Regions from separate parts of the Mus musculus genome. Here region 2 is reported to be linked to region 1. The links are microRNA targets in miRTarBase. Many come from high-throughput screens and were not tested one by one. Region 1 holds a microRNA gene; the other region holds the end of a gene's coding sequence.
What was found. The annotated mature microRNA mmu-miR-700-3p reads CACGCGGGAACCGAGUCCACC and lies in region 1 at 2,473-2,493, opposite strand. An mRNA with a match to its seed (bases 2 to 7 or 8) in the 3' UTR can be bound and repressed. Matches are read on the target gene's strand: a 7mer-m8 pairs with bases 2 to 8, a 7mer-A1 pairs with bases 2 to 7 and ends in A, and an 8mer does both.

Region 2: the mRNA of Nrp2 is a reported target of mmu-miR-700-3p. Seed matches in the 3' UTR shown: 7mer-m8 at 2,787-2,793.

The regions. Positions count from the first base shown.
Region 1 is chr4:135,414,089-135,419,467 of GRCm38, forward strand. It overlaps Mir700 (microRNA 700), which reads right to left and starts at 2,545; the gene lies at 2,467-2,545. Rcan3 (regulator of calcineurin 3) reads right to left here. Exons shown (of 5, transcript NM_022980.4): 4 at 4,292-4,463; 5 at 1-2,510. The coding sequence ends at 2,332.
Region 2 is chr1:62,814,988-62,820,366 of GRCm38, reverse strand. Nrp2 (neuropilin 2) reads right to left here. Exons shown (of 17, transcript NM_001077404.1): 17 at 1,675-5,034. The coding sequence ends at 4,730. Among named protein-coding and RNA genes, the nearest start is that of Gm35120, 19 kb to the left of the region's middle.

The DNA.
Region 1 (5,379 bases):
GTAGAAAATGAAAGCCAAGACAAATTTTAAAACAGGGTTATGATCACATAGAAAATTAGAGAGAACGTGTACTGTATAACGGGGAACACACAAACTCCCCAACTGTGAGAACACACTTGCTGGCAGCTAGGGTCTACCTTACAATCAAATGAAGTACACTGCCGAGCTCAGCACTGCAAAGCACTGTAAGCCAAGGATGAACTCTTGATCTACTGCATTCGCCTCCAAAGTCTCAGGATTACAGCAGCTGTGTGCCTGCATCCAGTCAACTGGGAAGACCCACTGAGGCCTGGCGTTTGAGACCAACCTGGGCCACACTGAGCTGTCACCTCAAAACCAAACTCACTTTATCTGACAGATGACTTGGATCTAAAAACCAATGCGGGTGGAATCGTAATCTGCAACTGAATCTGCACGGAGGGCTCCCAATGGCAAACGCAGAATTCAGCATTCCACAGGACCTGAAGGCAAGGGACACTCTCCTGTTCTTGTCAGGTATGGTGGCACACACCCTCAGTCCTAGCACTTATGAGACAGAGGCAGGAGGAGCAGTTCAGGGTCATCCTTGGGACACAGCAAGTTTGAGGTCAACCTGGACTACATGGGACCCGGTTTTAATGACAGACAATGCACCTGTGTGCGTGTGTTTGTGTGTGAGCTCATGCATGCACGCTCATGAAATCAATCCTACCACAAAAGGACTCAGCCCTAACATGTCACGCAAAGTACACGGCTCTCATGGCTTCATTTCTCTACGTTCTTTTCTTTGCAGTTGCAGCTATGTTCCTCTCTGTTCTATGCCCAGCCCCTTCACCTAGGCCAGCCAGCTCTGAATACTTGATGAGTGGAGCAGCTGATGTACCTGTAGCCCAGCACTCAAAGGCAGGAAAGTCTGCAAGGGACCAGTGATGCTGAGTGACCTATGGAGGCCCCAACAACACATCTTCAAGTGTAAGAAGCAATTCTACCTGAGGGCCAACTGCAAGCAAAGGTGGAAATGATTGTTAAAGGAGGAAGCATAGACTACAACAAGCCCATGCCTACAATCCAAACAAACAGAGCCTGAGGAAAGAGAGTGGTCTGGGCCTCAAGGCCAGCTTGGGCTACATAATGAGTGACAGGCTAGCATGAGCTACAGCGTGAAACCTTATCTCAAAATCAACCAACCAACCAACCAACCAACCAAACAAACAAACCCAACCACCCCCAAAAGAATGATTACTTTCCCTAATCCATGGGGGAAAGGACAGGTGATTTTTCTTTCTGAACAGCTGAAATACTTGAATGGAAAACTTTGAAATGTGTGGTGCTCACCCCTCTAATTCCAGCACTTGGGAAGCTGAGGCAGGAGGATCACAGAGGACTTGAGGCCCAGGAGCTACAAAGTGAAACCCTGTCTTTGAAGAAAACAAAAGCAAACTGGCTCTCCCTATTTAAAGCGGTCTTCACAAAGTCTTATCATTATCTTCTAAAGTTAAGACGACTAACGTCCTTGATTACACGCACAGCACAGGAAACCTCAAGCAGTAGCAGGCCGGCATTAGGAGGGTCAAGAGAGTAACTGAAGAGCTGCCCCACAGACTCCAACTCTGTAGTCCTCAGCCAAGCTTCCCGGTGACACATCCCACTGGCAAAGGGAGATTCCTCCAGCAGAGCCGAGGCTGGGAAGGGCTGAGCTGGGAGCAGAGTCCTGTACACCACTGTCACTGACTGCCAAGAGAGGCAGGACAGACGGACAGCCAGGAGAGCTAAGAGCACATCTGCCCACGATATCTGGATCTGACAATCTCAGTCATTTGGCCTTTCATCCTCAAAGCTAGTGAAAAAATACTTGTGAGAAATGACTTCTACAAATGATTTTGTATCTCGGGTTTCTTCTCATGCAACAACAAAAAAAAGGTCATGTCTACTGAACAACACTCAGCCTTTGCTCAATATATTTGTTAAGACACTGCCACACCTGTACAAAAATACCCACACCAAAGTACTGAAACCGTAAGACTAATTTTTAAATCTGTAAAAATGGCAGTGCACTGGGTGACTCTAGTTCTGGCCTGTGGTACCCAATGCTCTACAGGTTCAAGGGAACTAATATTTCTGGGGGAGGAGACAGGTGCCACATGGTCAGGGCTAACCTTGTCACTTAAAGTGCCATTGAGAATACTGTTCAGAATTTCAAACAGCTGGCCGAATCTGCTACTTCACCCCACGTTCTGGCCTGGGGAGGCTGGCCCAACTGCCTGACGGATGCAACAGCATCCCTGGGCTGTGCTCCTAGACAGGCGCAGCTGTAGTGGTGGGACAGGCAGGCGCGGCAGGCACCGCAGCCGCTCAGAGTGCACAGTCCAGCCGCTCACTCAGTGCCGCCGTGGGAGCCTCCGGGCGCCGCGTCTGCGTGATTTTCTGTTTTGGATTTTTTGTGTCTTCTTCCTCTTCAGTTTCGCTCTCACAGACGTGCACCACCACACTGGGGGTGGACTCGGTTCCCGCGTGCAGTTCGTATTTCTCCCCTGCAAGCACAGGAAGGAGCCTTACTCCCAGTGAAGGAAATCAAGTTCTTCTATCTCCCAACTTCCTCTTCTACTACGTCATTCAGTGGCTGATTTTTTTTTTTTTTTTTAAGACTGCGTCTCATGAAATCTGGGCCAGTTAGAAACTTGCTGCTGTAGCTGAGGCTGACCTTGAACTCTAATTCTTCTGCTTCCATCTCCCAAGTGCTGGCATTTAAAAAAAACAAAAACAAAAACAAAAACTCCCTGGAGTCGCACTATGTAGCCCAGGCTGGCCTAGGCTCACTGTGTAGACAGGCTGACCTGGAACTCCCAGGGAGCTGCCAGCCTCTGCCTCCCAAGTGCTGTTAAAGTTGAGTACCACCATGCCCTGCAGAAATTCTATTTGTAAAGACACTGTCGGGCTAATGCGATGGCTCAGTGAGTAAGAGCACTTGATGCTCTTCCGAAGAGTTCAAATCCCAGCAACCACATGGTGGCTCACAACTACCCGCAATGAGATCTGATGTCCTCTTCTGGTACGTCTGAAGTCAGCTACAGTGTACTTATATATAATAATAAATAAATCTTTGGGCTGGAGCAAGCAGGGACTAGCGAGCAGGGCCGACCAGAGCGAGGGGGGTTGATGGGAGCAAGCAAAGGTCCTAAAAATTCAATTCCCAACCACATGAAGGCTCACAGCCATCTGTACAGCTACAATGTACTCATATACATAAGTCTTAAAAAATAAATAAATAAAGACACCGTCCCTTCTGTCCTGAGCCCTAGGAGTTAAATCCAAGCACTTCAGGCACCTTCAAGGCAGACTCCTGTTAGCACACACCTTAAAACCATCCTTCTCTTATTTTCAAGTGAAACTTCATGGTGCAAGCGAACCCAAGCACACCCTGTCCACCATGTTCATCTCCATGATTTTCAACTGCGCGTGCTCAGGAGTGCACATGCCACTGTATGAATATACACAGCTTCCTTCACTCGGGGAGGGCTTGCTTTGCAAACAGCTCCTGTCTCTTCCTATCTCTTCTCTTCTTGTCTCTTCTGTTCTATGCTTACTCTGGCTTTGTGCTCAGGAAGAAGACGAGAACCCATTGATTAGATTACATAAATACTAATTAAAATGTTAACATAAATGCTAACTGCTGTTCTATAGATAACTAAGGTGGGATAGTTAAATTCACAGTGGTGTTGGGGCGCCATGGGAGGCACTGGCTAAGCTCTAGGCAGCGGTGTCTACGGTAGGGCCTCTGCCATCGAAGAGCTCAACCGCCCAGGAGCATAGAGTGCCTTCTCAAAAGCCTCTGAAGTGCCCTAGAAGAATCGGCTTCTTGCAGTATTAAAGATGAGTGAGACCGAGCAAGAAAAGAAGGAAGTAAGAAGTGAAAAGAGAGAGAGATAGAACTTTGGAAGGGTGATAGGTCATTGTCACTGTCACCCAAAGCAGCTGCCAAACGACAGACACTGTGCTGACTGGCTTGCAGAGAGAAAGCAGTGAGGATGTTCACTAACCGCCTATATTAACTTCTGGCTGAATGGCTAAAGTTATCACGCTGCAGACAGCGTTTAATCCTTAGAACACACTCAGATAACCCAGGCTAGGCAACTGGCTGAGGACCACAGCACTGGAAAGTGTACAGCTCGAGTGTGAACTCAGACTGGTGTGGCCACACCGCCCACTGGACGGTGCTGGTGTTGCTGGGCTCTGCACCCCATACTGCACACAGTCTCCAACACACAGAACAGCAATGTCCGAGGACTCGGAGAGCGAAGGTGGAATGCAGTACCTGGGCCCAGCTTGGAGACAGCGCAGAGCAGGTCATAGTTGATCACTGGCATCGCATCTTCACTCTGCTTCCACCCCACGGGGGGTGAGGCGGGAGGGGAGATGAGGAACTGCTTGGTGGGTTGTGGTGGCAGTAAGTAGGACTTGTCCCGGGCCTCCCCGGACACCTGCACCTGCAGGGAAAGGCGTGCTTGTGAGCAGCTGTCCTTTCTTTTCTTTTTCTGAGACAGGGTTTCTCCGTGTATCCCTGGCTGTCCTGGAACTCACTCTGTAGGCCTGACTCACAGATCTCACGGTCTCTGCCTCCAGTTCTTAGATTAAAGGCCTGCACCATCACCACAGGGCTTTCATTTCCAACTTTATGGTAATTGTTACTTTCTTGGAGGGGTGATTAAAACTGTCTCTCAAACTGTCTGTGACCTTCCAGGTGGTGGACTGGAAGTGGCCACAGGCCCTGGACCCTTGATAAACGTGCTACTCTGTGGTCTGGGCTCTAAGTGACCCTTGGGCTCTACATAGTAGATAGAGGCTTGCTCCCCTGAGAGGTCAAACTGGGAGCCTTCAGGAGGCAGGGAGGCCTTTAGTCATGGGGACATACCCTAAGGGACAGTGGAACCCCAACCCCTTACTCTTCCCCCTTCCCATGAACGAAGTGAAGAGCTTTGCTCTGCCCCTATGTGCTACTGCACAGCAGGCTCACAGGAAAAGTGCCAATCACATGCAGACTGAAACCTGCAAACCACAAGCCGAGACTTTTCTCCTTTACAGCTGACTCTCCCAGGTATTTGCTAGTGGTGTGAGTGGGTGTGCTGGCTACTATATGTCAACCTGATGCAAGCTTTAGTCATCAAGAGACAGGAACCCAACTGAGAAAATGTCTCCAGAAGACCTGACTGCAGGCAGGAAGTTTTCTTAGTGACCAATGTGGGGAAGGCCCTGCCCATTGTGAATGATACCAGCCTGGGTTGTGGTTCTAGGTTCTATAAGAAAGCAGGCTGAAGCCAGGCACAGTGGCACACGCCTTTAATCCCAGTACTCGGGAGGCAGAGGCAGGCGGATTTCTGAGTTCGAGGCCAGCCTGGTCTACAG
Region 2 (5,379 bases), not on the chromosome of region 1:
CAGAAGAGGGCGCCCAATCCACAGGGAAGTATAAACCCCTCATCAAAGAAACTTCCTTTTGCAATTGATGGAGACCATTACAGAAACCCACAACCAATCAAAATGTAGAGTTGTGGAGTTTAGTCAGGGACATATTTATAAAACACTCATGTATGTAAAGATCGGGGAATATTGTGGAAGACGTGGCAGAAAGATTGTAAGAGCCAGAGAGTCAGAGAGTTTGCTGTGAGATTGTATCTCCTAGAAATGTCAGAAGCTACACTCATAGAGTCTCAGCAACATGACTCCCTAAAAATGATCTGTACAGGACATCAATAGACATGCTTAGTGTGGTTGGTGGAAAGACCACACAGTCTAAACCCTACACAGAGAACTGCAGGTTACTAAGGGATGCTAAGAACAGGAGAAATAGTCTCCCTCAGGGAAGAGCAAGCCAATTGGTTATCCAATACCAAATAGCCCTAAAAACATACATGCAAGTAACATTATACAGACAGAGCCAGTTATATTAGGAATATATATGTATGTACACATATGCATGTAACAACAGTTAATAAAAAGGGACTATAAATTTCAAAGAGAGCATAGAGGAAAGGGAAGGGGGAAATGATGCAACTTTAATTTCAAAATTAAAAGAAATAATTGAAAAATAAAAACTAAATGAAAACACAACTCATGGACTGGAAGAAAACATTTGGAACTCATATATTGAATTAGAGAATAATACCCAGATGAGAGACCAGTGGTTCCTAAAAGAGAAAGAGCAACAGGATTCCCTGGTGGGATTCTGAAATACAGACCGCCTAGGCGTTCCCAGAGCTTCTGATTCGTTAGATCCAGGATAGGACCAGAAGTATGCATCTGAAGTGAGTGGCACTTGATGCCAGTGCTGCAGGCCCTGGGCCATGCCTGGAGATCTCTCCTAGGCCTTGAGGCCATCGGAGAGGTTGAAAATTGAGTCAGAGATGAAGTGAGCAGCAAGGACTCTGAGATGGCAGGGACAAGGAAGGAGGGGTAGGAGGAGGGACCGAGGCTCCCGAAGTCTACTGGGTGAGACCTACAGTTAGTTAGGTGTCTCACTTGGCTGGATGAGCCATTGTTGACTTCAGAATTTCTTCATTTTATAAAATGCCAACAAGTTGTACAACCTCCTAACTCCAGTGTCAAGTCCTATTGTCCTAAAAGAATGACCAACCATGTGAGTTCATTCACAATTACGGGTGTTGGTATGCTCTCCAAATTCACATATTGAGAATCTAACTTCCTCTGAGATGGTATTAGGAGGTTGTGGGGTCATAGATAGTAGTTAGGCTTAGACTAGGTTGCAAGGATGAGGTTAATACTCTTGGAAGAAGAAACAGACAAAGAAACTCAGGAAGGAAAAGCCATATGGTTCATGAAGGGAAGGTAGATGTCTACAAATTAGAAAGACTCTAAATGTGCTAGTAGTTGCTTGAACTTGATCTCAGTCTCCAGCACTAAGCATCAAATGGTTGAGTCTAAGTCACCTGACATACGGTATCTGTTATAGCTGTCCAAGATGACTAACTTGGAGCATTTTCCAGGACACAAAACTCTGAGTGGTAAAACCCAGAAAAGTCTCCAGCACATGGGGCAATCTGGTCACTCAGGTCCCGGCTCTCTTTGTTCTCAAGAAAGACAATGTAGGAAAAATAGTTCTGGTATAATGTTTATTTAAATAGTAATCTTAAAAAGGCTTTATACAAATCATATAAACACAGTCTGACATTGTTTTATTTTTTACATTGAAGAATCACAGTAAAAGCTCTCGAGTTCCCGTGATCTGGCTCAGCCAGTGAATGGTCAAATACCTTTAACCGCACACCCTGGAAAAGCTTAATGTTCCCCTTGTTTTCTTGTCATTCATGCTCATTCCTTGGACCCTCATCCCTGTCGACTCCCCATTCCTGCAAGAGAGAGCAAGCAACCCTGTGGCCCTGTGGACCAGTTAGTCCGGGAGAGCGTGGAGGTAATGTGTCATTCAGTACAAGGCAAAAAAGGAGATCAATACTGTGAATTAGATTTCCCAAAGGGAACAATTCAAGGAGACAGGCTGGCTAGCTTACCTGCAGATAGAGATAACAGATTCGTCAAGGTGTCCTCTGGCTAAGTTAGAATCAGACTCAGCTGTCTTTCTTTACATCTTACAACAGACCAGCCTCCAGCCTTGGTGAGGTATCTACATGTAGCCCCGGGGACCCTGCTTCTTTTCGGCCCTCAGGACTCACCCAGAGCCTCAAATCAGCCAAAGTGAAGTGGATGCAGGACTTGTAGAGGAATGCAGGTTGAGTTGCACATAACTTTAGACAGGGCTGGTCTTGGGGGGGGGTGGATTATGGTAAATGGTCCACTGGGCATGTGAGGGCAGGACCCCCGGAGTGGGCACTTCTCTCCTCCTTAGAAACCCCCAGCTTTCTGAATCCTAGCTGCATGGGAGGGTGAAGAAGAGGGTGAGCTAAATACCAACTTTCTTCTACTGCACGCCCAGCTCAGAGGGCTCCTAACGCTATGCCCCCCTGGGCTAGACAAATGAACTTTTCACCTCTACCACTGTGCCAACGAGTGCCAAGATCAGCAGTAACACCCAGGCTCTAGGTCAAAAATCACAACACCAGCACTGAGTCCCACGTTACCACTCACATACACAGTAGATACAGAGAACTCAAGGGTGCGACACACACACACACACACACACACACACACACACACACAAACACACACACACACACACACACACACACACACACACACACACACACACACACACGCGGGAATAAATAGATGTCGGCATGACTGTTCCCCCTCTTCATACAAAACACTGCGACATTACCATCTGAACTAGGGTTTTCATAAGTTAACATTTAAAGGGACCACAGCCAGTCCCGTCCACCCTCCCCCTTTTGCCTGGGTGCAAGACAAATGAAATTGTGGGTGATCACAGCAGCAAAAAAAACGGTCAGACAGTTTACCACTGATATGCAACAGTCTGGACATACTGGTGGGGCTTAGACTGTATTTCTAGGGCACAGACAATCTTTAGGCATTAACAGAAAGTCAAGATTTGGATCTTGATGAGGACAATCTTATCCTTCACACAATTTCATTATCTTCCTGATGCCTCCCTTTCTGGAGTCATCTAGGGCTCTGATTTTTTTCCCCGGGTAGCCAGACTCAGTCCACTGTGGCTCAGCCGTGGGTAGGGGGGCTGGGAATGGAGTCACTGGGGCAGGAGAAGCAGGAGGAGCCTTAACTTGTGAGACAGTGGTGATTTCTACCTAGAGGAAAGGACATTTTTCTTCATTGTTTTTCAAGGCACTTAATAAAAAACACATGAACTGCTGTGTGTGTGTGTGTGTGTGTGTGTGTGTGTGTGTGTGTGTGTGTACGTACATGGCACATATGTGTATGAATAAGAACTCAGGTCTCCTGAGGTTGAAGCTGTGTGTAAGCTTCTCCATCCATAGAACTTGCTGACTTGTAGGTAGAAGTGCATGTCTTTGCACTTATATCCCTATAAGGATGTAGCCTCCCACAAGAAATCAATGTTCTTAACCTATCAAGGAGACTCATTCAACAAAATGTCTCTGTCCACACTGGTCATTCTTCCCAATACAGGCTGCGTTTCTCTCTCTTCCTTTGTTATTCTTTCTCTCTGCTCTGAGACTAAAGAATAGAGACTGCAAAATCTCCCACTTCCTCCCCCCCCCCCAAGTATGTGTGTGTGTGTGTGCACATGAGCTGCATATGAGCATGCTGTGTGCATGTGAATATATGTATACGCTGTAGAAGAACAAATAGGAGGGAAAAGAAAAGGCAAAGCCACCAGCTGAGACCCTACAAGGGACATCCCACAGCCACAAACTCTGGGTCTAGATTAAGGAATGGCACCCAGTCATCAAAGCATTTTAAGGCTTGTCTGTGTCTAACCATAGAGGTGTGTCTATGGGTTCTGGTGTATGAAGTTTCTGTTATGTTTTACTTTAAATCTTATATAAGAAAGAATTGTTCAAGCTGACCCTAAAATGGCAATCTTCCCCTGGATTAAAAAAAGCTAAAGGCAATAACATCCTACTTCAATATGCTAGGACCGGAAACGGCAGCTCCTAGGGTTGGCTGGCAGAACCCGAACACACCCCAGCAAGTCTCTTGAGTTGGGAGACCATCTGAGGGTGAGCTAAGCTGGGTGGCTTTTGTTTCTTAGGTTCCATTTCTCAGGATGGAAGGGCTGAAAAGCCCCTTTGCTTTTCAAGTGTTGACTAGAAAGAGATGTGGAGAACAGGACTGACCTCTCCACTTTCTGCCCCGGATAAGCCATCCTCTTCTGCCTCTTTGAGTTGCTCACAGACAAAAATAAAATAAAATATAACAATAGCAATCATAATCATAACAAACCCACAAAGGAAACAGAACTGTGACTCCGAAGAGATGCGCTCCTGTCTGTGTCCCTGCAGAGAACACGGGCCCGGTTCCTGCATTCACTTGGCCACCACAGTCCTGGTGGGCAACGATCCCCTTCACAGCTGCATCTCCCTTTCTCCCTAGACTGGCCTGTCTGTCCTGTCCATACCTTCAGTATTCTGGAACACTTTGATCCAGATTATGGCATTCAGTTTCCAAAGGGAAAACAAAACAAAACAAAACAAAACTGTAATCTTCGCTAGCCCCTCTCACTGGAATGAAACGCCAGAAGCGATCCAGACACAATCGGTCATGCCTCCGAGCAGCACTTCTGATGATTGATCTTGACCTTGTGCTTGAGGCCATCGTAGAGCTCAAAGTTGTAGTTCTCCAGTGTGGTGCAGCTCCTCGAACTCAGACCCGAATAGGAGCAGGTGCAGTAAAGGAGGAGGCCCGCACAGGTGGCCCCCAGCAGGACCCCCAGCGAGCTCATGGCGATGATGGTGATCAGAATGGGATCTAGGGTGTACAGCCAGCTCTTTTCTTTGCCAGATGAGGGGTCACCAGCCCCTGAGGTAGAGGAAGAAGAGTTGCTCCAATCTCCTTCATATTCATCTACGACACAAAATACACAAGAGTGTAGGCATGGAGACAAACCCGAGGCTCCCCAGACCCAAGTCACTTTAGGGCTTAGCAGTAAACAGCAGGCACTTGGGAACCTTGCTATATCCTAGCTGTGCCATTTGAAGCATGTAACCTAAGCCCTTCTCTGACTCCAGTTTTTCATTGTAAAGTGAAGATGGCAATAAAATGGCCTCCCTGGGTTATTAGGAGGCTTAAGTGAATTAATAATTGTCAAGTGCTTGCATCCTGGCACAGAATAATTGCTCTCTCTGTGGCTCTGGCTCTGGCTCTGGCTCTCTCTCTCTCTCTCTCTCTCTCTCTCTCTCTCTCTATATA